Linked DNA regions of Rattus norvegicus. The main gene of each other region encodes a partner of the protein of the gene in region 2 in a complex. Links are inferred from orthologs where the notes say so. Each region holds a gene or a part of one and is shown on either strand. Other genes may lie near its edges.

What was found. The genes of interacting proteins can lie anywhere in the genome.
Region 1: the proteins of Il1a (region 2) and S100a13 are in contact, whole or in part, in an NMR structure (PDB 2L5X), measured with the Homo sapiens proteins. The link is inferred for Rattus norvegicus from reciprocal best matches to the Homo sapiens genes IL1A and S100A13. Residues at the interface, in NP_000566.3 of Homo sapiens: Asn148, Gln150, Tyr151, Thr194, Ala195, Gln196, Asp197, Leu203, Leu204, Lys205, Glu206, Met207, Gly216, Ser217, Glu218, Thr219, Asn220, His239; in NP_001019381.1 of Homo sapiens: Met1, Arg25, Gln26, Glu27, Gly28, Arg29, Lys30, Asp31, Ser34, Asp68, Ser69, Glu70, Lys72, Phe73.

The regions. Positions count from the first base shown.
Region 1 is NC_086020.1:178,300,020-178,304,014, forward strand, and holds the end of S100a13 (protein S100-A13), read left to right. Parts: intron 1-3,260; coding exon 3,261-3,404; 3' UTR 3,405-3,495; downstream 3,496-3,995. UniProt on the Homo sapiens protein: Plays a role in the export of proteins that lack a signal peptide and are secreted by an alternative pathway. Binds two calcium ions per subunit. Binds one copper ion. Binding of one copper ion does not interfere with calcium binding.
Region 2 is NC_086021.1:136,987,218-136,991,303, reverse strand, and holds the start of Il1a (interleukin-1 alpha), read left to right. Parts: upstream 1-1,286; 5' UTR 1,287-1,339; intron 1,340-1,372; exon of another isoform or gene 1,373-1,741; intron 1,742-2,040; 5' UTR 2,041-2,048; coding exon 2,049-2,095; intron 2,096-3,186; coding exon 3,187-3,235; intron 3,236-4,086. UniProt on the Homo sapiens protein: Cytokine constitutively present intracellularly in nearly all resting non-hematopoietic cells that plays an important role in inflammation and bridges the innate and adaptive immune systems.

The sequences.
Region 1 (3,995 bases), on a different chromosome or scaffold from region 2:
TGTTTGTCCCAGGCTGGCTTTGAACTTGAGATCCTCCTGCATTTTCTTCCCAGGTGCTAGGATTACAGGCGGACAATGCCTCACCAATATCTTTTCTTTTTCATTTCCTTCCTTCTTTCCTTCCTTCCTTCCTTCCTTCCTTCCTTCCTTCCTTCCTCCTACCTTCCTCCCTCCCTTCCTCCCTCTCTCCTTTCCTCTTTCTTTCTTTCTTTCTTTCTTTCTTTCTTTCTTTCTTTCTTTCTTTCTTTCTTTCTTCCTTCCTCTTTCTTTCTTTCTTTCTTTCTTTCTTTCTTTCTTTCTTTCTTTCTTTCTTTCTTCCTTTCTCTCTCTCTTTCTCTCTCTCTTTCTTTCTTTCTTTCTTTCTTTCTTTCTTTCTTTCTTTCTTTCTTTCTTTCTTCCTTTCTTTCCTTCTTTCTGAAACAGGGCCTCTTTGTGTAGCCCTAGCTGTCCTGGAATTTAATGAACCATATCACATCTCCCCAGCCCTTTTAAAAATACTGAGCCCCTCACCCTGTTATTACTGTGTATTCTCGTTAGTCTTGACCTCACTCTAAAACAGGCTGAGCTCCTACTCACAGCAATCTTCCTTCCTCAGCCTCCTAAGTGCTGGCATTACAAGAGCACCACAACCCATTTGTATTTACTTAAATTCTTATTTCTTCTGAATTTTACTGGCAAGTTTGATATGTTTACTTTTCAAGAAGAACCCCCACCCTTTTTATTTATTTGCTTATTTGATTTTCAGATCTTTTAAGACAGAGCCATCATTATATAGCTTTAGCTGATCTAGAACTCACTATGCCAAGCTGGCCTTGAACTTACAGTGGTCCTTATGTCCTGGACTCCCACCTGACTGGGATTTTCAGGCATTTGACACTACCCCTGACTCATAGCATTTTATTATGTTAAAAAATCCAGTAAATATTTAACTTAGGGTCACATCAGTCACGCTTAAGAGGAAGCTGCCATCTTTACCCTATGGAGTCTCTCCAAGGTGTGCACTTTAAGTGAACTGTGTCAGAACTGGGCTGAAGTCCCGGACACCTGGCTGCTCTCTGCCAGAGAGTTGCTTGGTATGAATACCCACCCGTAGCTGGCGTTAGGAGTGTTTTGTGTTGAAGCTGGGCTTGGTGGTGCACACATGCAATCCCAGCACGTGAGAGGTGAAGGCAGGAGGATCAGGACCTCAAGGTCCTTCTCAGCTATCCAGAGGGCTTAAGGCCAGCTTAGACCACGTGAGACCCCGCCTCAGGAAACAACCAAACCAGAGTGATCTGTGGTGACACCAGGTATGGAAGCACATGACTGTAATTCCACATCATTGCAAAAGCAGCTTTCAAAGGGAATAAGAAATAGTTTATTCAGAGCCAATTATGAGTAACCATGGCTAGAACTAGGAATGGGGTTGCCTGGAATGACACATTAGAAAGTGGAAGTAGTAGGGTTGGGGATTTGGCTCAGAGGTAGAGCGCTTGCCTAGGAAGCGCAAGGCCCTGGGTTCGGTCCCCAGCTCCGAAAAAAAGAATCAAAAAAAAAAAAACAAAACATTTGAAATAGCCCAGGCAGGCCTTGAACGCTGGATTCTCAGCCTTGGATGGCTGAGATTACTGTCATGCACAACCAGGCTGGCTCATTTCTAATAGTTTTTTTTTTTTTTTTTTTTTTGAGGGGGCAGGGTGCAGGCAGGGAGGAAAGACACAGAACAGTAGATGGGAATTGAATCGCTGATTTAGAAAACCTGGGTTTGAGCTGGAACGATGGCTTAATGGTTAAGAGCACTGACTGCCCTTCCAGAGGACCAGGATTTAATTCCATTGCTCCATGATGGCTCACCTTTGTCTATGCTCCAGTTGAGGGGATCCACATCCTCTTTTGGCCTCAACAGGCACAGGCACGCACATGGTGCAAAATACCCTCATATATAAAATAAAAAATAAAATAAAATGAAAGAGAGAGAGAGAGAGAGAGAGAGAGAGAGAGAGAGCGAGCGAGCGAGCGCGAGCGAGCGAGCAGTGTACTGGATTCAAATACAGGTTCCGGCTGTTCATTTGTGCTTGGCACCAGTATCTGATTTTTCTGAGGTTTAAGTTTCTCATTTGTTAGGCAGACTTGTCACACCTTTCTTGTTCAATTAGTGATGTATTTATTTAACCCGTACTTATTGAAGACTACTCTGTCTTTTCCTGTTTTGATGAACAAACTTCAGCTGTGTACTTGACACTGAATGTACGGTGTCGAACAACATAGACAAGGTCCTTGTGCTACCATGGAGGCTGTCATCCTAGTAGAGCATGAGGATCAAATGAAATAAATAAATAATATAGGATCACCACGCCTGGAATCAAGGACCTAAGACTGCTTGCCTCTCTCCCCCTTGGCTGCACTCTTTCCTTCAGCTGGTAGTGGAAGTGTTGTCCAATGACTGAGCTTATGCTGCTGCTATAAAACCACACTAGGAATTTGCTTCCTGTCATCTAGAGATCTGTTTGGCAGATCTTTGCCTTTCTCCAAATGTTGACTCAAAGGTTGAGCATGGGGGCTGGAGAGATGGCTCAGTGAGTATGCACACTGCCCTTGCAAAGGACCCAGGTTCAATTCCCAGCACCCATGTGGCAGCTTACAACCATCCGTAATTCCTGTTCAGATATTCTCTTCTGACCTCTGTGAGCACCAGGCATGTGTATGGTATACGTACATTCCACGTGTTGGCAAAGCGCCCATATGTATAAAATCAAATGAATAAACCTAAAAACCAAAACACCCCCTTACACCCCCAAATATCTCCCAGCACTGAGAATCAAGCTCCATTTGAGGCATCCTTCAATCTGACATCCACCAGTTGTTCAACAGTGGCATTTATGTTGTAATTGTTTATCTGGCAACAAATCCTTTCATCATGAAGGCCGGCTTACAGAACCTATTGGTTTCATAGCCATGACACTCTTTGTCAAGAGGACCCTAGAAAGCCAGATAACCTGGTATTTTTGCGATTCCCCTGACCTAATGGGTGGTGACTACATTGAGAAGACATTAGAGTGACGCGAATGGCCAGCAGGGGCAGTAGTGGAGGAGGAAGGTAGTTTACAATCAGCCAGAGTGTCTGCTCATGTCCCTTGGATATAGGACTTCCAGGCAGTGCAGTCCTGGAACCTTATCCTTCAGACCAGGATTAGCCGTTGGCGCTGTCTGAGGGAAGGCACCTGTACTTCCCTTTCTCCCTGCCCCGAGAGCCCTAACCTTTCCCTTTTACATCTTCTTAGGATGTGGGTTCTCTAGACGAAAAGATGAAGAGCTTGGACGTGAATCAGGATTCGGAGCTGAAGTTCAATGAGTACTGGAGACTGATTGGGGAACTGGCAAAGGAAATCAGGAAGGAGAAGGTCCTGGCGATTCGCAAGAAGTAAAGTCTGCTGTCGGGATGGGGGCCAGCAGGGCCTGCTGGGCAGGGCCAGGCAGCACTCCATTCCCCCAATAAAGCTTCCTTCCTGAAACAGAGATGCTTATTTTTATGTACCACTCTGATTTCTTTTCTTGAGACTGGGAGATGGGAATGTTCCATTTTTACCTGAGATGGAAACATGGAAATCATGGGTACTTTGAAGACAAGGAGTGGGGTTCCTCTTCAAATATCCTACAGCATCTAGAACTATGCGATTTTTTTAAAGATTTAATTTAATTAATTTTTATTTTTGTTTTTGTTCCTCTGTTGTTGAGGACAGAACTCAGGTCCTTGAGTGTGTGTGGCATAGTAAAATCTTGCACTAAGTAGGTGCTCAATAAATACATAGTTGATGAGCAAAAAAAGTACAGAGATTTGAGGCAGGCAAGGCAGCTTTTGGGACTCACCTCCACGTCTCTAGTTCTCAGTTTCTTCTATATAACTGCTAGAGTTTGCCCTTTGGTTTGTAATAATGAACATCACTAAACGTTTTAACTGTATTACCCTAGTCAACTGTCACAGCTGTTAAGGTTAATTAATTCAATTGATTTTTGCA
Region 2 (4,086 bases):
AGCTTTGGCTCCAGTCTACTTCTGTGCTTGTCCTTCCTTCCCTTACGTAGGATACCACTCATCTTTGAATTTTGTTTATAAATATAACAAGAGGAGGGACAGACTGGACAGCCACATTGGAACTGGAGAGTTTACATATGCAATAGAACCAAAGAACATCTAAACAGCTCCACTCTGTGATTTAAAAGGGCCAGAGGGCGTGGTTCATCCAACTCACGTAAGCTGCTTTACTCCTAGCCTCACAGTTTTGTGTTTGGTTTGGTTTGATTTTTATTCCATGTTTCAGTGGTTTGCTTTTCTCTCTTTGCCACTTTTTTCTTTCCTTGTCTACCACCCACTTCCTTTATTTAAAAGTTACACGGCTTAAATGCCAAGTAGAAAAGCTGAAACACTGCTTTGCTGAGAGTCTATCTCTTAGACTGGCCTGGCGTCTAGGAACTGAAACTGTTTCTAATAAAAAGGCAATGCTGATCTGTGTAAGAATCCATACCTTCCTCTCCCACAACCCCCACTCCTGGGCTGAGGCACTCCCCTGGCTGGGACTTTGTCCCTGCCTCCAAAAGTGGGCAGCTTATCCTCTCTCCTGAACTATCCTGAAGGACACTAGGTAGTGGGACAGAGCTACTTTACCATGATGTGGCTGGGGCTGACAACTCTCCTCTGAAGCTGTCGTCTCTGTAGGAAGTGCGTTAATACTGTTTAAAGGAGTAAGAGGGCCCAGGTCTTTATGTTCAGTGTCACTTTTACCTCCTTTACCTTTAACCAGAAGGCCATTGTTTTATACGTGGACTGCTGACTTATTCAAGCAAATTTTACCCTTCAAAGAGGGGTGGGGAGCTCATTTTTCCCTCAAATGCCCTGCCTTAGCTGCCAATTATCCCTCCCATCTGTATTCAGTCCTGGGGCACAATAAACAAATTAGACCAAAACACAAAGTACAACTATGGAGCACCTGTCCTAGTCCGACTCCCGCTCCGATTTGAGGATGTCTCCTTTCCTCTTCCATTGGTGAGCTTCCTGCCACTCTTCCCTTTTTGTAAGACTACATGTTTATAGTCACATGGAGCAAGCGAGAAATAGGCAGATCAAGCCAACAGCCCGCAGAGTCTTTGCAAGCAACATTATTACCAGTGTATAATCTGTCCTTCTAGCCCGTATCAAGAAGAATGAACACAGAAAGATACGAAGCAGAATTGTTTCCTGTAAATTCCCAATGACACACACTCATGACCACACCTACTACTTGAGGAAGACTATAAAGACAGAGAGAAGCCTGACTCAGACTTAAAGTCTCCAGGGCACAGAGGGAGTCAACTCATTGGCGCTTGAGTCGGCAAAGGTATTGTCCTTATCCCATCTGAGGCTATGAGAATTGTCTTTTGTTTGCTCCTCGACTGTCCTCTCTCAAGACATCTTTCGTAAGGAAAATGGTCTCTTCTTCTCTCCTCCCTCCTCCTCCTCCTCCTCCTCCTCCTCCTCCTCCTCCTCCTCCTCCTCTTCCTCTTCATCTTCTCTTGTCTGATTTAGAGCAGGGGCTGGAGTGAGAGGCTCAGAAAAGAATTCTCTTTCTAGTGATAGAGAACTTAGGGAGCAGCTGAACAAGATTCACGTGAGCGAGTCTATCAGCAAAGCTGAACCATTTTCTGGAGATCGGACATCTCTCCTGACAAAAATGAAAGAGACCAGCAGGTTCCCACTCTGTGTCTCCCTTGCCTCTATATAAGGCAGACACCTCACTCAGGTGATTTTAATTTTTTTCCTTATTCTGTTCAACTTTTACTAAGTGCCTACTATGTGTGAGGCGATAGACTGGACACAAAGAATACCAAGTTAGAGAAAACATTCTTGAAAACAAGCTAGTGGAAAAGATAAAAGCATACAGAAATAATGTAAGGGAGGATGAAGGAGAATAGAGGAAATGCTGAACATGTGATAAGTCACTACTGTAGTTTCTCAAGAAGAGCAAAGCAGGGTCATTGCCCTTGCAAGCACAGGGTTTAGAGGTGGACTGAGCTGACAGCCACTGGTGTTCTCTTGCAGAAATCAAGATGGCCAAAGTTCCTGACTTGTTTGAAGACCTAAAGAACTGCTATAGGTAAGAAACGGAGTCTTCCTTTTTTGATTCAATGAAGGGCACAAGACTCTTTTGAATCCGAATTAACTAAGAGTTAATGTGACCAGTCAGGGGACAGGCTGGCAGAGGCTATGGAGATATACATTGACCCTGAAGTCCTGAGGACAGAGAAGACCTAGAAAGACCAGGCATCCGTCATACTAAAAGGATATTTCATTGGCAGGAAAAAACGGAAATTGTAGAAAATTATTTTTGAGGTATACTGAATCTGACATAATTTTATATCAACATCAACGTAGGCACTCTAAAGAGTCAGCAGTGGGTTTTAATGAGCTATTTGAGAGAGAATCCATTCTCAAGAGAACCTGTTCCCAGTCAAAGGAGGTAACGGCTCTCGGGCACATGGATTCACACTCATCGTCAAACCTTACCCTGATACAAAAGACAAAAGAGCAGAGAGTTGAAATTCTAGAACATTCTTAACTAATATGATGTTCTTGTTGTTTACAATTAATGCTAATGCTAATAAAGCTACAAAATGTTAAACAGTAAATGTTTTGGTGAAGACATGAAAGTAAGTAGCGTATGACAAAGTACGCCTGTGATGCATCAAACCCTTTTCTTTTAAAGACCTTAAGTCTTCCCTGAGGTTCTGTTAAGACTCTGGTTCATTAGTCATGCCTGATTTTTTATAAAGCACAAAGCTGTTCTAATAATTACTAATTTCAAATTAGTGACAAATAAATTACTATGTGTATAGTAGACATGAATGTACAGAAGTCTTTAACTTTTCCAAGAGTAATGATCGTGTGTGTGTGTGTGTGTGTGTGTGTGTGTGTGTGTGTGTGTGTGTGTGTTCATGTACTCAGTTACTGTGGAGCTTACTCTCATCCTAACAGGACTCAAGTTCTCCTAAGGATGGATTAGCTCTTAGACATCCACTAAAAGTCATTACTGTGTTAGAGCGTTTGAATTCAATGGTGCCTGTGCCTAAATCAGTTTTTAGGAATGTTGTCTGTGTTACCCAAAGTTAATGTGTTAAGTTAGATATGATACTCACTGACCACAGTAAAATAATGGACAAAATATAGTCTCATATTCTTTTTTGACAGTGAAAATGAAGAATACAGTTCTGCCATTGACCATCTGTCTCTGAATCAGGTAAGTACATAATTAGCATTCTTATAGATCTGGGCTCTCTTTTTCTTCCTTTTCTTTCACTCTAGATCCTCTACCAGAGAAGCACAATGAGCATTGAGTAGTATACACTTGTGTTTCCCTGTCATAAATGAGACACTTGCCTCTTCATGCCAGTAGTTAACTGACATTCTTCCTACTCATTTGCTTTTCCGGAATAGAGATCTATCTGAACCCCTAAGAGCTGGGCCAGGCTCCTTCAAAATATTAACTTTGTTCTCCCTAGCCAGTTGTTTCAGTCCAACTCACCTGGGTCTGTCTCTTAACAGACCTAAGGCTAGAGACAACCAGATAGCCCACAGAGCTGAGGTAAAGGAGGCTAGCCAGGAGAAATTAAATGTTACACACACAGACACACACACACACACACACACACACACACACACACACACACACCAGGTCATATCATTTTGTGTGTCTGTGATACTAGCTTTAAAAGCTGCTTTCAGAAGAACAGTTATACCAAAGGCATCCATGGGAGCTTAGAATCAAGGGAGACCACCTTCTTCAGATGCTCAAGTCCCATATATTAAATGACCCTCTATTTGTATAAAGTATGTATGCATGCATTCTCAAGTGACTTTAAATCATATCCAAGTGTCCTAACCAGACCTGCCACAATGCAGACGCTGTGGAAACAATTCTTATGCTTATGAAGCAATGGTTAGATTATTTAGGAAATAAAAAATGCACATGTGCAGTACAGATGTCATTTATTTCTAGAAAATATTTTGACTCTTAAGGCTGGTTGAATTTGAGAATGCAGGCAGGCAAAACAGAGGGCCAAATGTATTTTCTAAAATATTTTAAGCACT